Linked DNA regions of Notamacropus eugenii. The protein of the gene in region 3 interacts with the protein of the main gene of each other region in a pairwise test. Links are inferred from orthologs where the notes say so. Each region holds a gene or a part of one and is shown on either strand. Other genes may lie near its edges.

Evidence for each region.
Region 1: the proteins of ZC3H12A (region 3) and P4HA3 interact in binary tests that used the Homo sapiens proteins (3 or more experiments, as listed by UniProt). The two-hybrid records come from large-scale screens. The link is inferred for Notamacropus eugenii from reciprocal best matches to the Homo sapiens genes ZC3H12A and P4HA3.
Region 2: the proteins of ZC3H12A (region 3) and AHSP interact in binary tests that used the Homo sapiens proteins (3 or more experiments, as listed by UniProt). The two-hybrid records come from large-scale screens. The link is inferred for Notamacropus eugenii from reciprocal best matches to the Homo sapiens genes ZC3H12A and AHSP.

What each region holds. Positions count from the first base shown.
Region 1 is NC_092876.1:130,972,605-130,982,631, forward strand, and holds the start of P4HA3 (prolyl 4-hydroxylase subunit alpha-3), read left to right. Parts: upstream 1-5,351; 5' UTR 5,352-5,679; coding exon 5,680-5,912; intron 5,913-10,027. UniProt on the Homo sapiens protein: Catalyzes the post-translational formation of 4-hydroxyproline in -Xaa-Pro-Gly- sequences in collagens and other proteins.
Region 2 is NC_092874.1:319,499,052-319,507,669, forward strand, and holds AHSP (alpha-hemoglobin-stabilizing protein), read left to right. Parts: upstream 1-5,505; 5' UTR 5,506-5,613; intron 5,614-5,810; 5' UTR 5,811-5,818; coding exon 5,819-5,893; intron 5,894-6,085; coding exon 6,086-6,289; 3' UTR 6,290-6,447; downstream 6,448-8,618. UniProt on the Homo sapiens protein: Acts as a chaperone to prevent the harmful aggregation of alpha-hemoglobin during normal erythroid cell development. Specifically protects free alpha-hemoglobin from precipitation.
Region 3 is NC_092876.1:81,820,669-81,831,425, reverse strand, and holds the start of ZC3H12A (endoribonuclease ZC3H12A), read left to right. Parts: upstream 1-6,044; 5' UTR 6,045-6,260; intron 6,261-6,619; exon of another isoform or gene 6,620-6,925; intron 6,926-7,344; 5' UTR 7,345-7,387; coding exon 7,388-7,923; intron 7,924-10,757. UniProt on the Homo sapiens protein: Endoribonuclease involved in various biological functions such as cellular inflammatory response and immune homeostasis, glial differentiation of neuroprogenitor cells, cell death of cardiomyocytes, adipogenesis and angiogenesis.

The DNA.
Region 1 (10,027 bases), about 49 Mb from region 3:
TCCCCAACCCTATGCTTGCCCAAAGAAGGTCAAAGAAATGACACGGGCACTGTTCCCATTCCCTAAAATATAGACTACATCATGTTCCGAAGAACATAATAACATAAGAACATAATGACTGTCAAAGCCTATTCTAGTTTTTTTCCCCACTATTCAGACCTTCAATACTTAAAGGATTCATGAATTTGTCAGTATAACTCCCTTCACTGATAAAAAGCTCTAGTGTCAAATTCACGTAAAAATGGGGCCACTAATGTGTATATAAGGATCCCAGTGGGTAGCATATGGACTTAGTTTTCAAATGTGATATTATGTTCTATTGTATTTTTCTATTTTGTTAAATATTTCCCTGTTACATTTCAGTCTGTTCCTCTGCTGGTTTTCATGAGCTGCTTTTACTGAAAAAAAGACATTACCCTTTCTGATGATAAAATAACACTGCCGGGGCTATTTTTGAGACCACAATCCACTCAAAGACTTTCCAGATTGATAGTGCCTGCCATTGTTTATGCTCCATTGGCATACCTTTGGAGAGCCCAGGGTCACCTCCATACCACTGCAGAAAGGTTCTTCCAGAGGGGTTCCCTTCCAGTAGCCAACTACTGCTCTGGATCCCATGCTCCATTCAGGGGCCTGAAGGGAATCCATCTAGCCATTTTGCCTTTGCTAACTTTGGTTGGGGGTGGGGTGCGGGTCCCTATGACCTGGAGTGCTCTTAAGACATATGCCTATTATATTTCTGGGACCTAGGGCTAAGTGGGGGAAGGGGAAAGCAAATTTAGGTTTAATTGAAATGGAAATTTGCTCCCAGTAATGGAATGAGCTGGGTTGGGGAGGGTATTTTACAGTGGTCAAGCACAAGCTGATTAGGGGGATTTTTGCATTGAAAACACAAAGGAGTCTAAAGTAATGCTGAGGGTGGGAACCACTGTGTATGTAGATCATTTTAGCTGGAGTGAAATTTTGCAAATTGGGAAGTAGAGAAGGGGCAGTAAAAGGTAAACTTAATTACTGCAATTGATCAGACTTCCTAGATTCCTGCTGCCACCTGGTGGACACAACCACCTATCAATGTCTCAGGCTCAAGATCAGAGGTAGAAAGCATCTTTTAGGAGACAAAGCATTAGCAACTTTAGTATCTCTCTCTCTGTCTGTCGCTCTTTCTTTCTCTGTCTCAGTCTATCTCTGTCTCTGCTCTCTGTGTCTCTGCCTCTGTGTCTTTGTCTCTATGTCTCTGTCTCTCCCCCCCACCCCCCACTCCTCGCCTCTCCATTTTTTAAGTGGAAGAAACAGACCCAGAGAGGGAAAATAATTTGTGAAAGGTCAGGTAGCAGGCCTGTCAAAGACTCCAAGTGTTACGACTTCTCTGGTTCCTTTCAATTTCATCTATCATCCACTGACAAATATATGAGTACTGTATACAATGTTACGGTCACTGAAAACAAATGAAAGGGAAGGATTTCAATCATTTTAAAGAGACCTCCCCAAATGAGGGTAAATTGGTCCCTATCCCTGGGCCTCAGTTTTCCTCTTTTGTTTTTTAAGGTTGAAAGAGATTCATTCAGCATGTGTGCAGAACTTTCTTGTACTCAGCACTGGAGGAAGATGAAGGCAGAGTTGGTTTTTCATCTTTGTCTCTTTCCTGCCTATCACAGGGCTTTGCACATAGTAGACACTGTGTAGCTATTGAGTTAAATTAAAATTGAGGCATTTGTCTTTTCTAAGCCTACATTCCTCATCTGTCCAAATGGGAAATATTTATACTACCTGCCTCTCAGGATCATGCTAGAAGATTTACAAAGTTCCAGAGGGAAGTTCAGAAGACAGGGAGGACAACTCTGAAACTAACATAAATTTACTACATGTGTTCTTTTAAAAATGAAGCTACATGTAATAGAGAATTGTGGCTTCATATACAACCCTTTTTTCTTTTTTATAAATATATGGAAATACTAAAGTTTTATATTTGTCAAGTACAAAAACCAAAAGGAAGTTCAAATTTAAAAATTAACCAAGTTCTTTGGAAATATTATCATCTTTCTTGATAGAATTTAAGAACTTAGGGCAGGAACTACATCTGTTCATCTTATTCTCCCCACTCCCCCCCACCCCAGGCCAAGGTCAGGGCTCTCTACGCAATGTTTCTCAACAAAGGTTTTTTGAATAAATGAAGCACTTTATTACATGGTATCTTTTGGTGTCCTCTGAGTTTGTGGGCAAGTATACCCTGAGACTATGCACAGGTCCCTTTTCCTCTGTAGGTCTGAGTTTCTGTAAAAATTAGGAACTACACAGTGTTAGTGGCAAAACCCAGATGCCCAGGTTTCCGATCTAGGAATGATAACAATGAATAATAACTTCACATCATAAACCATAAAGTGCTATGGAACTGAGGTGGGGGGAGGTCTTACATCATTTAATTTGATCTTTATTTTATCTAAATTTTATCTTTATTTGATCTAAATATTTTTTAAGTTCCTACTATGTGCTAAACACCGTGCTAAGATCTGGGGATACAAAGAAAAAAGTGAAAGTGAAAAAAATTATTGCCTTCAGGGGGCTTCCATTCTACTAGTAGGATTTACCACATCCTCATCTAAGTAAGGTGTGTGTGTGTGTGTGTGTGTGTGTGTGTGTGTGTGTGTGTGTGTGTGTGTGTGTGAGAGAGAGAGAGAGAGAGAGAGATTTGGGGAGATTACTAGGAAAGACCCCTTGTTTAAAGAGGTAGTTCCTGAGCTGAGTCTTAAAGAGAGCTAGTGAGGTATAGTAAAAGTATTGTTCCCATTTTATAAATGAATAAATTGAGGCTCAGGCAAAGTAACTTGCCCAAAGTCAAATAAATAGCTAGTATCAGCTGGGATGGGAACCCAGGGCTTATTCCAAATTCAGTGCTCTTTCCACTATACTCCCTGCCTCTTAGTACTTTTTAGGAGACCAGCTTCATGTCTCCACAGCAGAAGTGGAAGTGCTTAATGGCAGACAAAAGACTTTTATGTCTTGTCTTTTCCCCTACTCAGCACAATATTAACCACAAGGCACAGGCTCAGTAAATAGAAAATTAAATTGCCTCACCTAGAAATAGGTTCCAGGTATCAGTCTTCACTGTTAAACAAAAGACAAATGGTGCAATCTTCAGTGAAACATGGTAGGGCAGTTCTGATACAATACTAGAAAAGTGTCACCATGGGAAACTGAGGAAATAAGAGAAAATTGTCAAGAAGGCCATACATTCCAAATCTCCACCAGGGGGCACTCTTGGCATTAGAAACATAGAACCAGAGTCTTGTCAACCTAAACACTACCCTCTCCAAGAACTTTCTTCCCCACCTATTCCCTGCAAATTTGGTTTATTTTTCTCCAAAATAAGGGCTAGGAGTGCTATCTTCTGGGCAGTAAGATGGCACAGTGGAGAGAGTGCTAGGCCTGGAGTCAGGAAGACTCCTTTTTGTGAGTTCAAATCTGGCCTGTGACACTGGGCAAGTCACTTAACCCTGTTTGCCTCAGTTTCCTCATCTGCAAAATGAACTGGAGAAGAAAGTGGCAAAGCACTCCATTATCTTTGCCAAGAAAATCCTAGGCGGGGTCGGAAAGTTAGAGATGACTGAATCACTTTTCCCCCTGCTGGTCTTTTTGTTTAGAAATGGCAACATGGAACTGTCAAAAGAGTTCTGGATGTGGAATCAGAAGACCTGGGTTGGCATCCAGGTCCTACCACTTGTTCAACATTGAGCAAGTTACTTCTCTCCAGGCATTTTTCTCATCTGTAAAATAACAAGGCTGGATTAGTTGCTTCCTCCAGTTAAATCTCAAGGTTCCTATGACCTTCCCTGACAAACAGGAGTATAAGGTAGATAAGATGAAGTTACTTTAGCGTGGCTCTTGAGTTCTCACTGGAGAAGAAAGAGGAAAAGAAAAAAAAAGTCGGGCAAAATCCTGACTCTAGCAAAGAAGGTATTTTCTAACTAGAAGCTTTCCTCTGAGGAAGTACTTAGGAAAGAAGCCAGAGAATGGCAAGTGCCTTAGGCCAGAAGTCCTAGCCCTGACTATGCTTCTGATTCTTCTGTGTGACTTTAAGAAGATTCCTTCACATCTGCCTCAGTTTCCACCTCTGTAAAAATGAAGGGTTTGGATTTGATGATCTCTAAGGGTCTTTCTAGCTCTGACATTCCATGGTCCTTCACTGTCCTCTCCAGTGAAGACTGAAAAACACTAAATAGGTTAGTTACTAGGACAGGCCGAGAACACCACCAAGAAAGTTCTTTTCGTCCTGTACCTAGGACTTTTTTTTCCTGTAGATGCCAGTCCTCTCTAAGGGAGAAGCTTACTACCAGACAATATACAGGATCACTGTCAGGACTGGAGGGGATCTTGCTGTCATACAGACCCATGCAGACTTGAAGCTGGAAGGGACCTTAGAGGTTATGTAATCCAATCCTCCTATGCCAAAGATGAGGAAACTGGGGCTCAGAATGCCCAAAGTTTCAAAGGTAGTTTGACTCCAAGTTTAACTTTGGCTCTAAACCTAATATTCTTTTCTACTCTCATTTAGATATAATTTCAAGATTTACAGAGTTTACTTTCTTTATAACCTTTTTCAGAAGGCAGGTACTCCAAGTATAACTTGTCCCCATTTTATAGGTAAGGACAGAGAAGCTCCAGATTGTGTGACTGGCTCATGGGCCCGCAGCTAGTCAATGTTAGAACTGGGATTAGAGCCCAGGTCTCTTTCTGACTCCAAATCTAGTGCCTTGCACCACATTGCCTATCATCTGGCATTAGAGAGAGAAAAGGCTGGAATGACTCCTTAAAGAGGATTTAGGATGTTCAGAACTGTAAGGGGCCTCGATGTCAGGCCTGGAAGGAACCTGAAGAGATCGTTTATTCCAACCCCCTTATTTTACCCAGGAGGAAAATGAAGCCGGGGTGGAGGAAAGGATTTGTGCAGGGCTGGACAAAGAGCTGGCTGCAGAGCTGGGATCAGAATTCGGATCTCCTGTCTCCCAGCCAAGGCTCCCTCTGCACTCTGCAATTTCAGAGTTGAGGTTTAAGGAGCAATGGGAAAGGAAGAAAGCCTAATGGGAAAAGGGGGAAGGGGATATAGCCAGGTGGGAGGGTAAAACCAAAGTGATGGGAACTCAAGAGAAAAGAAGGGTGTGGGGTAAAGAGAAGAAAGACAAGAGAAAGAGTTGAAGAACGATAAGGGGGAAAGAGCTGAGGGAAGAGTGGTGTAGGGGAGAGGACGAGAGGGAAAACAGGAAGATAAATGTATATATAAGAAGTGGGGGAGGAAACAGGCAGAAGGGGAAGGGGGGCTGGCGGGGAAGGGGCAGAGCTATATGGTAAGAGGAAGGGAAGGGGGAAGGGAACTAAGGAAGAAAGGAAGAAAGAGAGCAGAGAAAGGGAGAAAGCAGACCGCGAGATGGGGAGGATGAATGTATGAAGTGGTGGAGGTGAAAAAGCAGAGGAAAGAACAAGGGAAAGTGTGAAAGGAGAGGCAGGGGATGTAGAGAGGCTGTAGAAGAGGGAAGGAGGGAGTGGAGCAGAGAAAGGGGAGGAGAGGAGAGGGGAAAGAAAGAGGCAAGGAGCAGAGGAGGAGAGATGTGAGGAGGGAGCCCGGAGAGTGCAGGGGAGCAGAGGGAGGAAAGAGAGCGCTGGGAGGGCAGTGCAGCCCCTGGCGGCATGGGCCCCCCGGCGGCGCTGGTGCTGCTGGTGCTACCGGTGCTGCCCGCCCTGGAGCTGGGGGCTGGGGTTCGGGCCACGGAGGCGGGGGGCGGCCCGCCCCGGGGCCGCGGGGAGGACAAGTTCTCGGCGCTGCAGAGTGTGGAGCGGGCTCTGGGTCCCGAGCGGGAGCTGCTGCGGCTGCTGGAAGGCTACGTGCGGGGTGAGGAGGCCCGTCTGCGGGACCTGCGCAGGTAGGAGCTGCCGGCTGGGGTGAGTGTGTGTGTGTGAGTGTGAGTGTGTGTGTGAGAGTGTGTGTGCGTGTGAGTGTGCATGTGTGTGCGCGCGCGTGTGCGTGTGTGTGTGTGTGTGTGCGCCTGTGTGTGAAAGCGCACGGGATCCTGACCCACCGATCCTGTGGCTACTTAGGACACTCCGTGTGTGACACTGTGTATTTGTGTGAGAGGGAACACTTTGGACACTAACTCACAGCCCCTGTGGCTGCTTAGGACACTCCCAGTGTGTGATACCGACTGAGTGTATCAAATGAGACTGTGTACAGCATTTTGCCACCCTTAAAACACTATAGAAAAACCAACTGTTACTATTCTTGAGCTAGGGGTGTGTATTTTGAGACCCAGGATGTGCCAAGGAACTCTGTGTCACTCCTGAGATACAGCATGTGATATTGTAGAAAGCCTGGTGCTGCGAGGTAGCATGTGTAACATTGTCTCAGTAAAGTGGACTGGGCTCCTGTGTGAGACACAGGACCCTGAGACACTATGGTTTCACACTGTATGAAAGAGAACAAATAGATGAAGGAGAGAAACCCAGATGATGGGCTGTGAGCTCCTGCAGGACTGAGACTCTTAGCCAGCTCTGTATAAAGGAGAGGCAGTGTGGCGTGGTAGATAGAGAACAAGACAGTCAGAAAGACCTGACTTCAAATCCCTCAGGGATTTGCCTGGGTGACCCTGGGTGAATCACTTAACCCATTAGTGCCCCAGGAAATTTTCTAAAATTAAGACACAAAGCAGTTACAGATCTGATCTGCATTGGTATAGTGAATTTCCTTACTGGGAGATCCCTACACTGATGAAATCACAAGTCTAAACCAAAGCCTGAATTAAGACCATGTATTAATTATGTTTGTGTCATCCCTGTGTGCTGGGCATGGTGTATGTATGTGTGAAGGATGGCGTGTTAATATTTACTCTGCATGCCAGTGATACTGAGTATGTGACATTGTATGGATCACACTGAATGAGTCGATGTTGCCCTGTGTGAATGTATAGCACTGTGGGTTATGCAGACTGAGTGGGGCCAGAAAAATCTTAAATGACACAGTGTGATGCTGTAGGGGCAGGGCTGTGACCTTGACACCAGTCCCCAATGACTACTAAGCTCTGTGACTTGGAATGATTGTGTTTTACACCATGGCTGAGAGAGACAGGCACAGACAGACACAGACTGAGACTGTGAGACACATGGGAGGAAGAGTGAGATTCTGTTTGTGATTTGGTGAACAGCTGAACATTGGTATCCAACCAAATATGACTGCACACAAGAAGAATGATGCATTTTTTTGGTCAGTTAGCTAATGTGTATGTGTGAGACATAGTTTATCTACATGTATAAAATATGCATGAGTATGTGCCTTAAAAATAAATGATAATGGTAGTTTTGATGATGATGTAATGGTGGGGGAAATTAAAAAAATTTTTTTCTTCCATATTCCCACAGGCTTTACTTTTATCAATTTCTTCAAAGTAGAATATTTTTCCAGTATTTTGTGGATCCAAGTACAGAAAGAGTCAGAAAACATACTTTAATTCCCAAAGTTAGAGCAGTGGAAAGGAATACTAAGCCTGATCCCATAAGACTAATACTAAACGTGTACTAATACTAAACTAGTCCCACCTCTACCATTGTGTGACCTTGGGCAAGTAAATTACTGCCTCCCTGGGTCTCAGTTTCCCTATCTGTAAAAGGAAGAGGTGGGAATAAATGGTGTCTTAGGTCCCTCCCATCTTGAAATTCTATGGTTAAATGAGATAATGTACGTTAAGCAATCTGCAAACCTTAAAGCACTACATACGTGTGAGTTTATCTTCTGTCTAGTTTGGACATCCTGCATTTTAAGGTTCATCCAATTAGATTGTGAGCACCTGGAGGGAAGGGAGTGTCTTTTGCCTCTTTTTGTATCACTTGCACTTAGAATAATTCCTGGCACATAGTAGGCTCTTAATAAGTGTTTATTGATTGATTAATTGAGCCCAACTCTAATAATCAACATGCTAAGTTCCCTCCCCTACCCCACCCCTATTCTGACATCCTGTGATTCTATGGAGAATCAAAGCTCCTGCATAAATAGGCTATTTTTATCCCAAGTATAGCCTGACCTGCTTGTTCCACACACAGCCTGGCCCACTTCTGCTGTTGCCCAGCTACAAGGTCCCATTGCCACCAGCATCAACTTATACAAACTTTTATTAAGCACCTGCCTTTTGTAAGGCACTCTGTTGGGTGCTGTTGGAGAGAGAGACACACACACAGACAGACAAAGACAGAGACAGAGACACAGACACAGAGAGACAGAGACAGGGAGAGGAATGACATAGTTCCTGCCTTTAAGGATCAGTGTGATGTCTGGGAAAGAGTACTGGATCTGGAATCAGAAGACCTGGGTTCAGACTCTGACCCAGCCCCTTTTGACTTGTCTGACGTTGGGCAAACCATTTAACCATTGTGGCCTTCGCTTCTTCATCTGTAAAAAGAGGGAGTTGGAATAGATGATCCCCAGGGTGACTCTCAACTCTGAATCTCTTTTCTTATGATACAAGTAGGTAGCTCAGATATGGGCACCCAGTAGGAACAGACTGGAGCCAGTTCATACTAGCTTTTGAGAGCACCATTGTTAAATTTTCAGCGTGAGCATTTGCAGTTTGTTGTTCAGTCCTTTCAGTTGTATTCAGCTCTATGATCCCATTTAGGGTTTTCTTGGCAAAGACACTGGAGTGGCTGGCCATTTCCTTCTCTAGCTCGTTTTACAGGTAAAGAACTGGGGCAAACAGGGCTAAATGGCTTGCCCAGAGTTACACAGCTGGATTTGAACTTATGAAGATGAAGCTTCCTGATTCTAAGCCCAGTTCTCTATCCATTACACCACCCGGTTTTACTTTGGAAATTGGCAAATCAGGACTCAGCAGAGTCTAGACCAGGGGTGGGGAAAAATGTTAATATTATATTCTACTGTTAAACTTATAAGTTTCTGTTTTCCTCTCTCCCCAGGAGCTAATTATTAAACATTTACCAGCACATCCATGGACATACATAACTACAGTACAAATAAGAGTTTAGTAAGTAGTAGCACAAAATACACAGAAAGTACATATTTGCTTCTAAATCCCCTAGATTGTAAACTCCTTGATAGCAGGACCTGCCATATCTATTCTTGAGTCTGTTAGTCAACAAACATTTGTTAAGTGCTGACTATCATGCCAGACACTGCTAAGCAAACAGACAGTGCTTATAAGAGGTCCACACTTGCTGCTTTCACCAGCTCATCACCCACTCACAGAATCATATACCGGCTGAAAGGGAAGGAACCTCAGAGGCCAGTTCTAGTCCACCCCAAACATGAAAAAGAATCACCAGTGTACTTTAGAAGTGGGTCTCCAGTTGTCACTACTTCCTGAGGCAGCCCACCCCACTTTTGTATAGCTCCAGTCATTGGGAAGATTTTCCTTAAATCTAACTGGTATCTGTCTCTTAGCAACTTGAACTCATTATTCGTGGCTCTGGTTCTGGAGTCAAACAATGAGCCTATTCCCTCTTTCCTGTAGATGTCACACCCTAAATCTTTTTTCTAGGCTAAACATCCTCAGTTGTTTCATTCAGTCCCCAGATGACATGGTCTTGAGGACCCTCATCCATACTGGTTAACCTCTGCACATGCTCCAGTTTGCAGTATCCTTCCTAGAAAGGAACTCTCAGCCTGAACACAAGACTCTAGCTGAAGGACCCAGCAGGATTGTCCTGTATGCTGTCCCTGCTCCTCTATGCTGGGTATCTCAATGCCATCTAAGACTGTGTCAGGGTTTTGGACTGCCATATTTTCCTTTTGACTCATATGGAGCTTTCAGTACACTAAAACCCCCCCAACACTTGACTTGCTGTCTAGCCATACCTCTCTATCTCGTACTTAACAAATTTGTGTTCAGCCAAATGTGATGTTTTATACTTGGGTATCAGAGACTGGATCCAAAAAGATGTTGGCAGGCTAAAAGATTGGGCTGAATTTAATAAATTAAAACTAAATATGGCTTCAGAGGACAGAGTTAAGAGCACTGACTAGTAGTTATGGGGA
Region 2 (8,618 bases), on a different chromosome or scaffold from region 3:
TTGCAACATTTACTTTTGATTGTTTTGTGGTTCTTTCCATTTATCTTATTATGGTTACTAAGTATATTGTTTTGCCGGCTCTGCTTCTCCCTGCATCGGTTTATGTGTATCTTCTCATGTTTCTCTGTATTCATCACATTCATCATTTCTTGCAGCATAGAAATATTCTTGTCATTTATTAAGTCATCCCCCAATGAATGGACATCTACTTTGTTTCTAGCTCTTTGCTACCCCCAAAGTACTACCATATTTTGGTATATATGGGACTTTCTTATTATCAATGACCTCATTATACATAACTAGAAGTGAAATCTCTGGGTCAAAGGAAAGAGTATGGACATTTTAGTCACTTTATTTGCATAATTCCGAATTGTTTTCTAAGATGATTGAACTAAATCACAGCTCGATCAACAATGCACTAGTGTGAATATCAGGCCTGCACAATGTACAGGCCAAAGGCTTCTTGAAGCCTGCCAAAGCAGCCAGAAGGCAGGATGTTATGCAGACCTGTTTTACATAATCTATATTTTTCTTGGGCAATCCTTTGGCAACCACAAGCCGCTGCTGGCTGTAAGCAGCCCAAGTTGTGCAGGCCTGTTTACATCCTCTTCATTTATCCCAAACTGCCCAACATCCTTTGGAGGGCAGCGCTCTAGCCATAAGCAATCTGTGACGTTGTGCAGGCCTAATGTATATCTTCCCATAACCTATCCACCATGGACCATTCCTTTCTTTTGTCAACTTTGCCAACTTTTCAGATTTTGAAAACTCAGGATTGTTTTGATTTGCTTTTTTCTTATTTCTCTTAATGTTCTGGAGCATTCTTTCATATGGTTGTTAATATCTTGCTATTCTTTTGAGAACAGTTCATATCTACATATATATATGGACATGGTTTTGCATATATACATATATGTATGTGTGTGTATGTGCGTGTGTGTGTGTGTATCTTGGATACCCAACCCTCATCTGATAAATTTGATACAAAGATTTTACCCCAGTTGTTTGCTTCCGTTCTTATTCTAAGTCGTGGATTTTGTTTGTGCAGAATTTTTCAAATTTCACATAATAAAAATTATCTATTTTACCTTTTGTAATTTCCTCTATCCCTTGTTTAGCTAAACTAGGCCCAGTTTTAAGGAAAGTCCCTGTGATAGCACCAGGATTCCTTCACTTCAAAATGGTAGGAGTTGGTTTTCCCTAAAAGGCAACAAAACTGTTTCAGAAGTTCAAACAGACACCTGCTGGGTCATTGCAGGGATGGTTCCTGTGTGGTCTAGTAGAGTCAAGCTGAGTATCATAGGTTTACAGGACTTGTATGGAGTTAGATAAATGTATTAAAGCATCCAGATGGGGATTGCCCTTTGTCCCTTTTTAAGTGGCTGTAGTGGGGAGTTATTTGCACATGGTCCCATAAATGTTAATCTTCAGCACAGCTAGCACAGATGGGAATCTGCCAGGGAAAAGATGAAGTTCCTAAAGGAAATGGGTTTGATAGATTGGATTTATTCATGTTGCTTCCCTGACCCCCCCTCCGCTTGACCTGCCACACCCTATGACTAGCCCTCCTCTGGGAAAATTAGATTCTGACTTCTGGGTAAAGGCTCAGCAGAATGTATTCAGACTTTAGCTATTTGTCTCTAATCGTAGAATTACACAGGTGTGAGCTGATCAACTGAAATTTGAACAAGATATTGGGACAGCTATGATTTTGCAAATGCTGCCGTTAATGGGAATAGGCACTCTGAGAATGTAGGAAGGAGTCACAGAGCCCTGCTAGGTGGGCAGAGGGCAAGGACTCTCTGACTCTCTGACTCTCTCTCTCTCTCTCTCTCTCTCTCTCTCTCTCTCTCTCTCTTTCTCTCTCTCTCTCTCTCTCTCTCTCTCTGTCTTTCTCTCTCAGAGGGATCTTTGGGTGTGGTTCCTAAAATATGGGCCCTGGCCATCATGGTGCTTATAAGATTGTACAAAAAAATTCATCACCAGGACACTAAAAGCCTTTCAGCCACACCCAAGCCTAAACTCTCCTCTAAAGGTCCATTTGGGTCATTCAGGGAAGGCTACAGAGGACAAATCATGGAGGGAAAGGTATCATAGTCTCTTGGGAATAAGTATTTGTACAGGCTCTTTCATTATCCTCTATATATTCTATTGTAGGTATGGCTAAATTGAAACTGTTAGTTACCCAAACTCTCCCATTTAGTTAGCACCAACCAATTTCAAATCCTCAGAAGGGGTGAAAGGTATTTCTTCTCTAATGATGGAGATGAAGGAAGCTGGAGTACTTCATTATACAAATATCCCCTACAGCAATCCTGTCTCTTGAGGAAGACTGATAGCACCTGGCAGTTCATGGTGGACTGCACAGAGCTAAACCAAGTCATCATAACCACCAATACAGCTGATCCTGACCTCATCAATGTTGTAGATCAGGAAACCCAGGCAGCCTAGACCTAGAGTGAGTGAGGTGGGGTTATTGACTTCATTAGTGCTGGTTTCTCTGTTCCTGTGGCTGAGACTAGTCAGGAATAGTCTGTTTTGACCTGGGAAGGCACCCAGTATACCTTCATCATCCTTCCCCACACAGGCCTACCTGAAATCTTCCTCCTGCTGCCACATTAGGGTAGGCAGAGACTGTCCTTTCATGAAGGCATTAGTTTACACCACTACAATGATGACATAATGTTGACTGGGTGTTTCACTGGTAAATACACAGGTAACACCAATTAAGCCAGGTGTCAGATGACACAGTAGGGCTGATAGCAGGTATTCTGGCACAGGTTCACTCTTGATCCAGGCAGACAGGAAGACAGGAATGGAGTCATAATAAAGAGTTGAATAAGCTTACTTTGTTCCAGTTTACTCTTCTCAAAGGGAGTTTGCTGATAATGGGAGCACCATCTCCTATAGCATTCCCTAATCACCCTTCTCACAGGGGTTGGCAAGAAGGGGAGATGGCTTGCCATATGTTTTGATGGGATCAGTCGAGACAGGCACAGCATTCCAGCTTGTGCACTCCCCTAAATCCTCCAAGCCTCAGTAGGGGCCTGCTGAGGCAGGTACATGCATTCGTCTATGCATTACCCAAATCACAAATTCCCACTTACTGACCAGTGCCCACTTGCTTTATAGGGCAATGGACAAAGAAGGTATATTGCCAGCAACAGCCTCACAGATTAACTTTAGCAATATTGTCATTCAGTGCAAGCATAGTAAGTATCACATTATGTCATTCCCATCTCTCACTGCACAGTCAAAGTGGTAGAGATGTTTATAATTCATGAGCCTCAGAAATATTATCTAACACCTGTGAACTAGAGGCTGTTATGGCCATGGAGCCTGGGAACTAAACCCTAAAAAGGAATAACAAAAATCCACCTTACATACACACAAAAATTCACCTTACTTATTATACTGGACCAGATGACAACATGTTGACAAAGGCCCTAGATCAGTTGGTGGCTCATATGAAGGACATGGGGTGGAAATCAACCCTAAGAAAATCCTAGCTCCAGCCTACTCAGTCAAGATTTTGGGAATATGGTAGAAAAGAGTAAAGTGTAAAAAGATTGAGAAAATAGGAAGGAACCAGGTTGTAAAGAACTTCAAGTGACAGAGAACAAATTTGTTTTGTTCTGTGAAGTTTGGATTCAGTCAAAGGATCACCCTTGAGGACTAGAGGACATGTGACATTGAGGTCACAGGCTTCCCCAACCCTGCACTAGAGTTTATTAGTGGTAGGCATGTGTGTGACATTATCACATCTGTGCTTTAGAAAAATCACTTGGGTAGCTAAGTGGAAGAAAGATTGGAGCATGGAGAGACTTGAGGCAGGGAGGCCAGTTAGAAGGTATTGCAGTATTCCAGATGATTGGTGAACACCTGAACTTGGGTGGTAGCTTTGTGAATGGAAATAAGCTGTCATATATGAGAGATGTCACTGTAGAAGTCACAAGATTTGACAATAGATTGGATGCATAGGATAAGAGAGAGTATGGAGTTGAGGATGACACTGAGGTCAGTAACCTGACTAACAGAAAGGTTGGTGGTATTCCCTACAATAATAAGGGAGTTTGGAAGAAGGAGGGGTTTGAGGGAAGAAGGTAATGAATATTGTTTGGTATGTGTGGATTTTGAGATAATTATCCAGGATGAAATGCCAAAAAGGCAGTTAGTGATGCAGGACTGGAGCTCAGTAGAGAGACTAGAGCTGGATATATAGACCTAAGAATCATCTTCATAGAGATGATAATTGAATCCTGTGACCCTGCATCTCCAAATAGATTAATACTATAGGATTTTAGAGTAAGAAAGAACCTCAGAGAGCAGAGAACCTTTGAGGCCAGGGACTTAACAGCTCTTTGTTTCCCTGGGTCTAGTCCACTATCTTCCCCACAACAGATCTTCAATGTCTATTTGTTATCAAGGATAACAATATTTTGGCACCAAAATCTGTGTGATGGCCATCTCAGCATAAGGCAATTTACTGATGAGCAACAAGAATGTGCTTATAGCACATACAGATCCCAACCATAGTAGTACATTTATTGTAACCATCAAGAACTCTCTGCAGGAGGATACTACAGAAAGCCAATAGTTAAATGAGCAGAGTATTAATCACATGTAATTACTCATTTTTCCTTTCCATGATGAATGTGTCAGCATTATGCTTGACCACTGGTATTTCCTCTCTTGAATTATTAGTCTTGGTATTGGTGATGCATATTAAATAAAATGCTCTTGGCTCTGGGGAGAGAAATATTAATACCTGGGTATAATGTTGCCAGTTCTGCAGTGATCAAAGACATAAGAAGATGAGGATACAACTTGATCTCTCTCTATATCTTTCCCTCTCCCTTTGCCCCTGCCCCAAATCCTCACTTTGTCAATGTTGTACAGAAGAAAATGTTCTAGATTTAGAGTCTAAGGACTTGAGTTCAAATTCTTACAACCTGTCTGACCAAATAATGCCTCAGTTTCCTCAGCTGTAACACAAGAGGATTATTGGACTACACGACCACAGAGGTCTCTTATGTCTCCGAATTCAGAATCCTGTGATCCTATTTGTAGCTCAAAGCATTTCCTCATCAAAGCATTTCCTCATTCTTTTACTGTTTTCTTAACATAAACAGACTACAACAGGATTCCTGGAATACAGGGCAGATCCTCTAGAATCTACTCCAGAAGTTAGCAAGAGGCTAGAAGGAAAGTTGGGAACCAGGTCCTTGGAGAGATTACATAAGGGTCTGGGAAATAAACCCTTGAGCTTTGGAAAGTACAGATGCTCAACTCTTAGAGGGGAGTCATCATTGAAAGGAAGAAAGCAAAGATTATGGGGAAAATTACAGCTGAATTTGAGGAAGATGGTAGGGGGCTGCCTTAATTTCACCCAGTTGCCTTGTCTGCCCCATTGGGTTGTTTCTGTACAATCTTCTATCTCTCCTGGCTCAGGAAAGACCCACCCTTTTTCTCCTCCCTCTTTCTTCACTTATCATTATAGTTCAGGGGTTGAATTCAGACTGCCACCCCACTTTGGATGCCTCCTCCCTTCAAATTCTTTCTTTGCCCTTCCTATTTTTGCTCAGACACACAGACTGAACTGGAGAAAGCAAGGTGAGACACCCAGAATACAGCCAAAGCCTGAAGTACTAGTGGAGAGGCTACCCTTAGAGAGAAATAGACAGGAATTGATGAGAGGTGGAGGGCAATACATTTGTGGGATTTGAAGAAAAGACAAGGTAGTGGAGATGTTAGGGGTGGGGAGCAGAGGTCAAGGGGAAAAGTGACCTTAGCTTTCCCTCTTTCTTCAGGCAGGGAGATGGCTCTTCTCCAGTCAAATCAGGATGTCATTTCCTCAGCATTGCAGGAGTATAGGAAATTGCTGGATCAACAGGTGAGAGAGATCCTATCTTAAGGACCAAGGGATACAAGACAACTTGACTTTTGGAGGAAAAGCGGGGGTTTGATGGAAAAATTAAGGGATAGAAAATGTAGCTTCTGGGAGGTATGCAGTGACTGATGGGAAGGTTGAGTGCCTGGAGGTCAGGACATTGGAATAGTAACTTCATTTTCCCCTCCTTGCCAGGTTTTCACAGAACCTGTAATCTCTGAAGAAAACATGATCACCATCGTGGATGACTGGATAAAGTTCTACCTTTCATATTTCTCTAAAAAGATGATGGGGGATCAACAGGAACAGGAGAGAGCCATGCAAAAACTGCAAGAGGAGCTTCAGACTTCTTCCATCCCCTTTCTGGACAAGTACAGAGCCTTCCTAAAAGCCCTTTGAGTTCCCATGTCTCCCATCCCTGTTCTAGGCTTTCATTTCTAGTATATCCCCTAAGCTGAGCACCTCTGCTAATATTTTCCTCTGGCAACCTTCTGTATCTTGATTTCCCCTGACCCTAAAATTTATACCTCAATAAATATACACATGGGAACATCTGACATTAGCATTCTTCTTTCAACAAGTCTGTCCCCTAGATCTATGCATAGATCTATGGATGGGATTTAGGAGGGAAGGGCAGTACAAAGATTAGTCTCATTCGTATGTCTTCTGGGAAGTCTAATGGACTTCCATGGGTTCATTTTTCCCAGAATGAGACAATGTCTTCAGTACTTTCAGCCCTTCTGTCTTTTCTTATTACTCCCCTCACCTAGGTCTCCCCAGGACCATGCCTCCATCCTTTCCCCTTTTCTTCTGTTGGATTTCCTGGTTCACATCTTGGATTTTTCTTCTTCTGGCATCTACCTAGGTCAGAGTCAGCCATATTCTGTGATCATAACAGCAGGCATCAGGCAGACAGGAAATGGAAGACCAAGGAGGAATGAGGGTGATCAGAAGGGAGAGAGAAAGAAAAGGAGAGGGAAGATGTCTAGGGTGGGTAGGTGGGAATAGGAGAAGAGGTGGTAGTTTGTACATCCAGGAAGAGTCCCACTCCAGCTGGCCTTGAACTGCCTCAGTTAGCTTATCTTCTTTACAATGGAACTAAGAGTTCATTTTGTAACTGGTGACATTCCACTCAGGCTGAGCAAAGACAGGCTCTTTTCTGCCAATGCCCATGCTAAGCCCAGGAGGTCCTGCTCCCTCAACACTTTTTACCTGGATGCCCCTATTCATAGATCATAGAATGTCAGAGCTGTAAGGAGGCTTAGAGATTATCTGTTCCCATTTACCCCACCCTTTTAAGGATAAGGAAATTGAATCCCAGAGAGAGGGACTGACTTGCTCAGAAATATAATTGGGCATAGGGGCAATGATTAACAAACAGGAAGGAATGTTGTTTCCCCTAAAAGACATTTGTGGCTGCCAGTGAAAGGGCTTCCCAAAGGGTTCTTATCGGATGGTCTTAGAAGCCTAGGGTGCCTGGTAATGCGTGTTACCCCCTATTTCAGCCTCGGTCTTTTTTTTTTAATCTGAAACAGACATATGGAATCTAGCAGTTACCATGTTAAATTACAGATACTTTAAAGACTATGTACCATAGTGGAAAGCTGAGGTGTTGAGAGAACTGAGCTCCAGTCCAGAATCTGCCACTAGACAGCAGTGTGCCCTTGCGCAAGTCACTGTGTCCCTCTACCCACCTCCTCAACTCACCCCCAAATTCTGGTTGTCAGAATGATTTTGCATATGAACAGACCTGGTTCTTTTGTTCTTCTGCTGAAAATTCTCCAGTAATATTACAGATTAAGGAATATTCAAATTCATTTGCTTGACCTCTTGTATCCTGACTTCACTTTTACCTTTCCATCCTTATTTAACCCTATTTTTCTTCAGATATTCCATATTCCAATGACAATGGAGTATTCTCTGCCCCTTGGGCTGAAGGTACTTCTCTGCTTTGGTCTGAGTGTTTCCTTTGTTTGCATAGAGTGGGATTGCCCTCCCTCTACTCCTTGATGTATTGAATGTCTACCATCCCTCTAAGTCCAAAATGCTGCTGTCCTTGGGATCCAGGTCTATGAAGACCTTCCTTCTTGGATCAAAGGTGAATTTCTTGAGAGCAGACACTGGTCTCTAGGTGTGTTAGTGGGAGAGTTGTGTCCTTTAAGGGAAAAGCTTTATAACTACTGTGTTTGATATGGCCTCTTGAGAAAATGCAAAGAATTGAGTCTACTGGCTAATTAAGGGGCTAGGGCCAAAGTCCAGAAGAGGATCATTTGGCATTTAGACATTGTGGAAGGAGGTCCAAGAGACTGGAGTAGCACGTAAAAGAGGAGGAAAAAATTGGTTTAGATGGGAAATGACCAAGAAGGAACTTAATAATGGAAATGAAAAAGAAGGGGTGGTGTTACACAGGAAGAAGTGGGGAATCTTATTAGTCATTGTAGGGTCCCCTAAGATCAGAGGGTGTCATGTTCCACACAACCACCAGATGGTGAAGCAAGACCACGGCTGAACTCTCAGACAGCCACTAGAAAGGGGGGGGATGGTATGAAACTTCATAGAAATTTAGGACATTAGTGCTAACAGGAAATTTAAAGGTCATGTAATACAACTTTCTCATTTTATAAGGTGAGAGTACTGAGGTCATTAACTTGCCCAAGATCATACACCCAATTAGTAACAGAGACTTTGATTGTGTTCTCTGTAAAATGAATTCTTGGGGATAAAATAG
Region 3 (10,757 bases):
GTTTTTCTTGACTATACATGTTTGTAACAGGATTTTTTTTTATTCTTTCATTCTCACTTAATGGGGAGGGATAGGAGAAGATGATTTATACTAATTAAAAAAATTTTTTAAAGAATATAGGCTGTCACAGATGACAGGGAGCTTAGAAGCTATCTCATCCAACCCTCAATTTATATATAAAAAAAACTGAGGCCCAGAAAAAGAAGGACATAGGATTATAAATTTAAAACTACAAAGGATTTTAGAGGCCATCAAATCTAACCCCTTCATTTTAGAGATGAGAAACCTGAGGTTTTAACAGGATGAGTGAGTTGCCCAGGGACCCTTAGTTAGAAGGCATCTGAGAAAGATTTGAAGTCAGGCCTTCCTAAGTGCATGTTGAGGTAGAGATCCAAAACACCACCCAAGGTGACAATCTAGACACTAGCTCACATTCTCCTGACACCCAGCCTCGTCTCTTTGTACCCCATAGCCACCTCTGTAAACATCAAGGGTGTCCCCCTCCTCCCTACCCCATGAACTAATTCCCAACATTTTTTAACAAATCTCCCCCTCATTCCCTTCACAAACATCTTCCTCCTTCCTCAGGCCTCATCTTCTCAAACTGAAAAGGTCTCAGATTTGGGGGTCTTTCTTACCTCAGCCACTCTGGCTCTAGGTTCTTCCCCCCATATCTCATGCACTGACCACTCTCTGGGCCTTCACTAGGAACAATGAAGAGAAGTTACAAAGAGGCTGGATGACTTCCTAACAATGATAGTTGTTTAAAAGTGAAATAGATTGCATTGGGAGGCTACATTCAAGGACAGGGACGGTCTTTTGCCTTTTTTGTACCCGCAGTGTTTAGCATAGGTTCTGGCACATAGTAGGCACTTCATAAATGTTTACTGACCAGTGGATTGCCCCTCCTCTGAGGTCTTCAAGGAAAGACTGCAGGATCTCTTTTCAGATACATCATAGCGAGGATTCCTTTCCTGTATGGGTTGGACCAGATGGCCATGTGCCTCATGAGGTCCCTTCAACTCTCAAATTCTGTGACTCTGTGGCAGGCTTCCTAAGTGCTGTATACTAAAAAATTCCTCCCCTCCTGACCCTACCTCAGTTCCTCCTAACTTAAGATGAGTCATTCCATTGTCAGAACCCTTCCCTTGACTGGAAGGGCTGATCTACAGGAAAAAAGACACTGAATGGAGCTAAAGGGGATGGGATAGGATGGGGAGACTATCCTGGTCTTCTTCCCAGGCAAAGGTTCTGCCTCTAAGAATCACATAAAGAGTTGGAAGACATGTTAGAGGAATGTAGACTAATCTCCAAACAAAAAGGAAATTCCAGCACAGTTTGCCTGATAAGCAGTCATTCAGCCATAATCAAAGAGGGGAAACCAACTACCTCTCCAGGGTTGCCCAGTCCATTTAAGGATAGTGCTTTTTGTGGGGAAAGTTTTCCTGGAAGTAAATTTATTTGTAACATCTACCCACAGGTCTTAGTTATGCCTTCTGGGGCCAAGCAGAGCAAGATAAATCCCTCTTCTTCTAAGGTCCTTTCCAACTCTAAATCTATGACTATAGACCTAGAGATGAAAAGGATTTCAGTCTTTTTCAATCTAATAAACCCCTACATTTTACAGAAAAGGAAACTGAGGCCCAGGGAGATTAAGTGATTTGTCAAAGATCAGAGTATCAGAGTTGGGATGTGAACCCAAGTCCCCTATATTATACTACCTCCCAGTATTTGAAGACAGAGAGAAAGAGACAAGGGAGGAAGGAAAGAAGGAAGGAAAAAAAGGAGAAAGGAAGGAAAGAAGGAGAAGGAGGAAGGAAGGGAGGGAGGAAGGAAGGAAGGAAGGAAGGAAGGAAGGAAGGAAGGAAGGAAGGAAGGAAGGAAGGAAGGGTGAGAGGAAAAAAAGAACATTTTATTAAGTTCTTACTATGTGCCAAGCACTGTGCATAGCTCTAGGGATACAAATACAAAAATAAATACCACTCCTACCTTCACTAAACTTACATTTTAATAGAAAGAGAATGCATACATAGGGGATGGTAACCAAGGAAAAAGCATTTTGGTCAGAAAAGTTACAGGGCCGTAAGAGAGTGGGTTGAGATACGGAAAGGAAAATGGCAGAACTGACTGGTTCATGGCTCCAGAACTGGAGGGTTTAGGAGCCTGCACCAGGATCAAGGTTCTTTCCCATCCTAGTTGTCCTTCAGCTTATCCACAGCCTCCTATAACATAGTGTTAGAACAGAATGCATTGCAATGCTCCAGGTCCTGAGATTCAGTATCAAGCATCCAGCGAGAAGATCTCACACCTGGGAGTCAGGAGCCCTAGGCTGAGATAATATATGAGAGAAAGTCACTTTTCTTCTATGATCCATATATAAAAAGAAAGGATGACATCAGATGGTTTCTAGTCTAGAAAATTCCATCCAGTGCTGACATCCACTATTCTATGAGGTGAATGCTGATAACAGAGATGGGTTAGGTGGCTCAGTGGTCAGGGAAGGTCTCCTGGGACAGCTGGGCCTAGAACTGGGCATTGGTTCACATCTCAAGTCTGATATTAATTCTTTGGCCTTGAACGGATTGTTTAATCTTTCTGGGTCTGAGGTTCCTCATATGTAAAAGGAGGGAGTTGACCAAACGGAAAAGATGGGAGAGAGAAGGTAGTACAGACTTCAAAACTGGGGGTGGGGGAGAAAACTAAAGGGGCCAGAAAGGCTGGGTTCTAGGGACTCTTCCTTTATATCAGCCTACACCCCAAATCCCAGAGCTACCAGCCAGCGGCAAAAGGGCTTTCTGGGGCCTCCCCCTCAGCTGCTCACCCAGGTGTTTTCCCACTCCTGAAGCTCTGGAGACTCCACCCAGCACCCGGAAAAGGATATCCAACAGTTAGTGAGAAGCAGCAGGGAGGGAGGGAGGGGGTGGCCACCTGGAGGGCATCATTTGACTACAGGATATACTTGGAACTGGGCTCCAGCCTTCCTGGTTGCAAAATCCATTTGCATGTGAGCCAGGGGTTCCCCAGAGCAATGCATGGTTCTCCAGAATGGAATTTGATTTTCCCTACCCTTAGCAAAGAAACAGGCAGAGAGTCAGACTCCCACCTAGAGCAGAACTGGTAAATTCCCAGTATCACCTAACATATCACAGTCCCTCAGGAGTTCATAATGGAGGGACCAGGATACTAGGATCTTCAGGGACCTTCATTAGACTGTGGGCTCCCCCAAGGAAGGGATTATCTTTTTTCTTTCTTTTTATCCCCAGCGCATAGCAGAATTCCTAGAACACTGCAAATATTTAATAAATACTTATTGGCTGATTTACCTGGAGAAGAGAGTCCTTAGTGAGTCAGTAGCTTCTCACAGAAGTTTGATGGACCTCAGAGGTCCAACCCATACCTGAAAAGGAATTTCCCTCAGTAGCATCACCCAATAAGTCAGCATTCAGCTTCCCTGTGCAGACCCCTAAAGATGAAGAATTTACTACCAGTGCAAGTGGAATTTGGAAAGAAGGAACCCAGAGGGGCTGCTATATTTTCAAAAGCATTGCACTCTTGAGTTCCTCTGGATTTCCTTTTTCTGATTCCTCTCCAGTCTTCCAAATCCTCCCCATCTCTAATCTTAGCTCTTCTGGGAAGCCTTTCATAACATCTCTCCAACACAAAGTCAGCTCTTCCGCCAGTGACCTTCCCTAATATTTATAGTGTGTGCCTTTCTGTGTCCACTTAGTATATCACGATATTGTTAGCTTCCTCCCCATCCCAATCCCTGTGTGTTTACCTTGTAAATACCCAATATATATTTATTTACGAACTCCTTAAAGGCAGAGAATTTTTCACTTTTGCATTGTATTCCCAGTGCCTAGAATACAGTAAATGCTTAAAAATGGTTTGTTGACTGGTTGATTGGTTAACTCTATGTTTCTTTAATTATCTGACTTTCTCCCCCTAAAAGGCTTTGAATTCTCTGGGGAGACAAGGACTAGGTCTCCCCAACAGGTGGAATCCAGGGCCTCCACACACAGTAGGCTGTAATTACATGGATGCTGAGAGATGAGTCCATCCCCATTACTCCTGAGAAGGCCCATACCTAAAGCCTACTCAATAGAGAGGAACGACGGGATGGTCTCTCCTGCCCCTGAGATTGTTGGCATTTTCAAAGCAGGAATCAATGTTTCTGTCTGTATTACACCGTGCTTTATGCAGAGCAGATGCTTGTGGGAATGGACTGAATTTAACTGTATGGGGTCTGAGGAAATAAATGTCTCTGAACAGGCAATAGCTCTGACAGCGAGTCACAGCTCACTCAGGTCACCTGTACTGTGGATGGCCAGTGAGGGTGTATGTATATGTGTGTATATACATAGATACACATGTATATATACATACATACATACATACACGTGTATATAATAATAGACATTGCTGTGGAACTTTTAGACTCAGAAAAGATAGCCTAGATATTATGCAGATTATCTCATTTGACTAACGTCCCTAACAATCCTGTGAGGTAGGTGCTACTATGATGACCCTCCTTTTGACAGAGGAGACTCCAGGAAGTCAGGTGTCTGGCTTCGTATACTTAGGAAATGTCAAAAATAGGTAGACCCAGCTTTTTCCATAATCACAACAGCCTGATGTGGCCCACATGGGGAGAGTGTGTGTGTGTCTGTGTGTGTGTCTGTGTCTGTCTGTGTGTGTGTGTCTGTGTGTGTGTCTGTGTGTGTCTGTGTACCTGTGTGTGTGCCTGTGTGTCCGTGTGTGTGTCTGTCTGTCTGTGTGTGTCTGTGTCTGTGTGTGTGTCTGTGTCTGTGTGTGTGTGTCTGTGTGTCTGTGTCTGTGTGTGTCTGTGTCTGTGTCTGTGTCTGTGTGTGTCTGTGTCTGTGTGTGTGTCTGTCTGTGTCTGTGTGTGTGTCTGTCTGTGTCTGTGTGTGTCTGTGTGTGTGTGTGTCTGTGTCTGTGTCTGTCTGTGTCTGTGTGTGTGCCTGTGTGTGTGTGTGTGTGTGTGTCTGTGTGTGTCTGTGTGTGTGTGTGTGTGTGCCTGTGTGTGTCTGTGTGTGTGTCTGTGTGTGTGTGTGTCTGTGTGTGTGTCTGTGTGTGTGTCTGTGTCTGTGTGTGTGTCTGTGTGTGTGTCTGTGTGTCTCTGTACCTGTGTGTGTGCCTGTGTGTCTGTGTGTGTGTCTGTCTGTCTGTGTGTGTGTGTCTGTGTGTGTCTGTGTGTGTGTCTGTCTGTGTCTGTGTGTGTGTCTGTGTGTCTGTCTGTGTGTGTGTCTGTGTGTGTGTGTCTGTGTCTGTGTCTGTGTGTGTGTGTGTGCCTGTGTGTCTGTGTCTGTCTGTGTCCGTCTGTGTCTGTGTGTCTGTGTCTGTCTGTGTGTCTGTCTGTGTCTGTGTCTGTCTGTGTCTGTGTGTCTGTGTCTGTCTGTGTCTGTCTGCGTCTGTGTGTGTGTGTCTGTCTGTCTGTCTGTGTGTGTGTGTGTGCCTGTGTGTCTGTGTCTGTCTGTGTCTGTGTGTGTGTCTGTCTGTGTCTGTCTGTGCGCGCGCGCCTCTCTGCACCTGCGGGTACCTGGTGCCCACGTGTGCCCGCACCTCCTCAGCACAAACTCGGAGCAAGAACGAGGGTAGAGAGGGTGTGACCCGGTCCCCTCGCTTCGCACGCCAGGCTCCTGAGGCCCGGAGGGGTGAAGCCCTGGCCCCGGGTCCTCTGCGCTCTCTCTCCAGCCTGTCAGCCTGGCCCTTCCGCCCCACCTCCCCGGGCCCCAAGCAATGGACGTGGCAGGGAGGCCAGGCGCGGGCAGAGGCCGCTGCCCCTGGGCCCCCTCCCTTTCCCCACTCGGCCCCAAACCCACGTGGACGCCGCGCCCCCCGGCCCGGAGGAGCTAGTCCCGGGCCGGCCAGGACTGGAGAGTCCCCGCGCCGCCCTGGGGCTGGCTCCGGGGAGAGGGGCCGCGGGCCGGCTCGGGGAGGCGGGAGGCGGGCCCGGGAAGACGGGCCGGCCGGAGCGGGGGGAGGAGCAGGAAGGGGCGGTGGCTGCGGCCGCTCCGCCTTCCGCCTCCCCACCTCTGCCCGGCCCGGCCCCCCGCCGCCTCCTCCCTCTCCTCCTCCTCCTAAAGGGCCCCGCCGCCGCCGCTCCGACTTTCCGCGTCTTCGAGGCCGCCGCCACCTGTCGGGACCTGCCCGCCCCCCGCGGTAGAAAGCCCCGGGGACGAGCCCTGCCCCGGAGTCGGACCCCCATGGAGACACTGCTGGGCACAGCGCACGGCCGGGTAGGACGGCCCCGGCGCGGGCGGGGCGGGGGCAGCGGGGCGGCCGGGGCTCGGGCCCCCGACGTGGCCCGCGTTGTCCCGAAAGTAGGGCCGGAGTCGCGGAGGGGCGGCGGGGCCGCTGCCGTCCATCCCGGACTGGGCCCGGAGGCAAGCCCGAGACCGTCAGGCCGGAGCCTCGGGGCCTGGGGCGGGGTGGGAGGGGGCCCAGCCCCCGGGCGGGGGTAGCCCGGACCGGACCGCCCTGGCCCCTCTTCCTCGCTCTCCCCCGCTCTCACCTCCCCCCAAAGTTTCCCCCGTACTTTTGTGCCCCTTCAGCACTTTGGGAAAGTCCCCCGTCCCGGGCGCCCGAGCCCCCTGACCTTGGCAATGCCTTGGGACCGTTGTCTGGCGCCCGGATCTAAGGAGCAGGTCCGTGGCCCCCCCTGCCCCCCTGCCCCGCCACGCGGAGATCGGGACCTTGGCTGGGGGGGGGGAATTCGCCCCCCAGTTTGGTCCGGCTTCTTGACCCCCCCCCCACTTCCCGGTCTGCCAAGGTTATCTGGTCCCTCCCTCGCCCGTCTCTTAGTTAGGGGGTGGGGAGGGAGACGTACAACTGGAAGCAGCTGCCCTGGACCGGTGGGAGGGGTGGTCTGTGAGCTCTCCCTTCCCCCAATCAGAAGAGACTTGAAGGGGTGGGGGGTGCGGAATGGGGAGGGGGAGAATTTCAAAGAGGTCTTAGCCTCAGAGGCCCCCTGGGGAGGGCAAACTGTTAGAGAGGCAGGGTTTTGTGAGTCTTTTCTTGACCTTGCATTTCTGGCCTCAATTTCCTAGCAATATGGTGGCCAAGAGTAGGGAGGTTTTGGTTTCACAGAATAACTAAGAAAAAAAATCATCTAGTTCCTTCTTTTAGAGATGTGGGCCCAGAGCTAGGAAGTGATTGGCCCAAGTTGCACCAAAAGTCAGTGACAGAACTGAGATTTGAACCCAGGCCTCCCAACTTCAGGACAACTTTAGTTTGTCTACCTAGGAATCCTAAGTGAATGCCACTCCTCTCTTCTGTCCTAACCCCCCTGATTAAGTGAGCATCTGCTTGGTTGGTTCACAGAAGCTGGAAGGAACTGGGAGCTTGAGCCTTCAGGAAGAAAAGGATGAACATGGACCAGAGGTCCCCCGAGGTCCTTACTCCTCGAAGTGAGGGCCCTTTCCATCAAACCAGTCCTGCCATGAGTCTTTCAGCTGTCCAGGAGAATGCCTCTCTGGGGCCCAACAGCCTGGGACCCCTTCCCAGACGGCGGGGAAGCCCCCATCCCAGCCGACCTGGCTCTCCACACAACAGAACTGTGATGGTGACCCCAGAAACAGGCCAGCCAGAAGGGTTGGATGATACAGAGCTACAGATGAAAGTGGACTTTTTCCGGAAACTAGGCTACTCATCTGGGGAGATCCATGGGGTCCTACACAAGCTGGGACTTCAGGCTGACACCAACACTGTCCTGGGTGAGCTGGTGAAACACGGGTCAGCCGCAGAGCGGGAAGCCCCAGTGGATGGGCCCACAGAGCCCCCACTGGTGCCCCGAGGTGGAGGAACCCCAAAGGCACCCTCCCCTTGCTCTCTACCCCCTGAGGACAAGGAAGCCAGTAACCTGAGGCCAGTGGTCATCGATGGGAGCAACGTAGCCATGAGGTCTGTTTGCACACTCTGGGTATCATTTCGTCTCTTCCTCTGTTTTAATGGTGGTCATGAGCATATTTGTCATGACCCTTGCTGGCAGTCCTGTAGTCAAATTAGAGGTTTTTATGGTTATCCTGGTTACAAACACAAGGGTAACATGGCAGGGCTTTTGCTTGTAGTCTGTTAAACAAACATTCTTTAACTGCACCTCACATTTTTGGTAGTGATGGGTATACAGTTCTTCCATCACCAAGGCACAAATCTAACATCTAGAATGTTACGTTTCTTATAGGAGGATAAGTCACCAACATTTCACTGGTGAAAATCATTAGGGAGGAATAGGTTTGCATCTCTTCTGGCCTCAGTTTTCCTCATCTCTAAAATGGTATTAGGTCCAGAAGAATATGGAACCCATAGGAGCTCTTGTGTTCCAAGTGAGGACATGCCAACTCCATTATCTCTCTGAGGAAATATGGACAAGGGATTGAGTTCCAGACTTGGAGTTGGGAAGACTTGGGTTGAAATTGCAACTTTTTACATTTACTAGCTAATGTGGCCACAGAAAAGTCATTTAAGCTCTATAAGACTGAATTTTCTTGCTTTGAAGGCTTGTTAGACTATACGTAAGGTCTTTGAAAACATTAAAACTCTGGATGCTAAGATATCCTCTCCTCTTCAACTGCAGGAAGGGTTGCCCCCAACTCTATTTTGTCTGCAAGGACCTGGACTAAATGTAGTTAATTCCTGGCCTTTGGAGTGAGTGGGTGGACCCAGGGGTGAGTGAGCTTAGACCTCAGGTGAACCAGTGACTCACCTACCCCTCTGACTCAGGGGACTGCCCCTGCCAGAGCCCTGAGCCATAGGGAAGGTGCTTCCTGGAGCTGGCTGGGGACAGCGCCTCTTGAGCCTTGGATTCAGGCAGGAACTCCCCTGAGTGAGGGAGAAGGCAATGGGGTGGCTTGCTGGGGAGGGGTCAGGGCGGTCCATTTTCAAGCGAGGATGTGGGGAAATAGCAAGGTCTAATGAGTTCCCAACATTTCTGTTCTGGCCCAGCTAGAGGGTTTGGAGTAAAGTGGTCCTGGAACTGTTACTGGGAGGTCCTGGAAAACGGGTCAGACTAGAGGCTAAGCCTTTCCTCTTAGCTAGCTGGAACAAAAAGCCCTGGTGTCTGGAGAGGGAAAAGGTCAGGGGTCAACTGTAGGGGAAAGGAAATGAGTGGTTTGGAAACAACCTATATACTAGACAAAGAGCCTGAGACTAGGAGTCAGGAGACCTGGATTCTAATATTGGTTCTGCCACTGACTTCCTATGACCTTGGCCAGTTTCCTTCCCATGTCAGGATCTCAGTTTTCTTCTCAGTAAAGTGAAAGCCAATGAACTACAACCTTTCAGCTGACCCATTGTAAATCTGAGTGGGTTGCTATGTAGTTTAACAATAATTTTTTGTAACTGAAGACAGGAGGAATTTTCTTGAGGGTTTTTAGAATGAAACCCTCCTGATTTGGGGAGTTAGTGCAATGCTTTCCTTACTTTACCTATGGGAAAACAGTCAGAGAGGGAAGGATCATAGGATCATAGATTCAGGGTTGTGAATTTGGACAAGGTTATCCAGCAGGTGTCTGAGATTTGGGGTTCTGAGTTTCCTTTCTTTCTGCTCTTACCCAGTGAGATCTGTGTTGACCTGGACTGAAAGAAGAGGGGAATAGCTAGGGTGGCCTTGGATTCTGGGGACTTCTAATCTCTGGCAGCTTCCCCCACTCTTAACAATCCCTGACACAGCCAAGGTCAAGTCCAGTTCTGTACTTGGACCTAAGACAAGCTGGGTTTGGGGCTACCTGGAGGTCAGGGGAAGAGTTTCTGAGAGAAAGCCTGGCAAGTCACAGTTTAGTGACTAGTGGTTATTCCTAACTCTGAGGGGCTCCTGACCCTGTTACTTGTTCAGCTTACCTGTTACCACCAGCCCCCTTAAGCTCTTGATAGTTGTTGGTGAATAGGGGTAGGGGGTGAATGTATAGAATCTTTCTGGTGTGGTATGAGTTTGGGATCCATCTGTGTCTCTGTGTGGTATGAGGTTGTGTTGTATAGGGTCTGAATACTGGTTTGTATGGTATTTGGATCTATGTAGAATGTGTCTCCAGGTTAAGGATTTTTTTTTTTAATTTGTTTTTGCATCCTAACATAGTAACTAGTTAAAAGTAGGGTATGTATTATATGGGGATGTTGGGTTGGATTAAGATTTGGAGTGGGAGGGCCTGGGCTCAGATGCCCACTCCCCTGTGTGATATTGGGCAATTTCTGGCCCTCTCTGCATCTCCATTTCCTTATCTGTAAAATGAGGGGTTTAAACTTCTTTATTCAGTCCTCAAGAGCAAGGGTTGTATCCTCAGCACCCAGCACGGTGCCTGGCACTGAGGAGGAGCTTAATAATGCTGCATTGATTAGTTGGCCCCCAAAGGCCCTCCCACCTCCAAATCCATGATCCTTTTATTTGAATATTCTTAGACTGGATAAAGAGTCTGTGGTGAAACTGATTTTGGGGTGATGTGTCAGGATAGTATAAAGGGGGCTGGGTATATTGTTTATTGGTGTGTATTGAGGTGCCTCAGGGTCATGTATGTGGATGGGGGCTGGAGAGCACAGGTATATAAGACAGATTTGTATACAGTCAGTTTGGGGGTGGGTAACAGACGCTATCTTCGCTTCTTGGCATGTGTATAGTAGTTTGAGCTGGGAAAACAGTGTGTAGGGGAGGGAGAATGAGGGGGAGGCAATCCAGCCGGCCAGCCTGGAACTGGCAGGAAAGGCCCAACCCAGCCCTGGGAGCCATGAGGAGTGGGAGAGGAGAG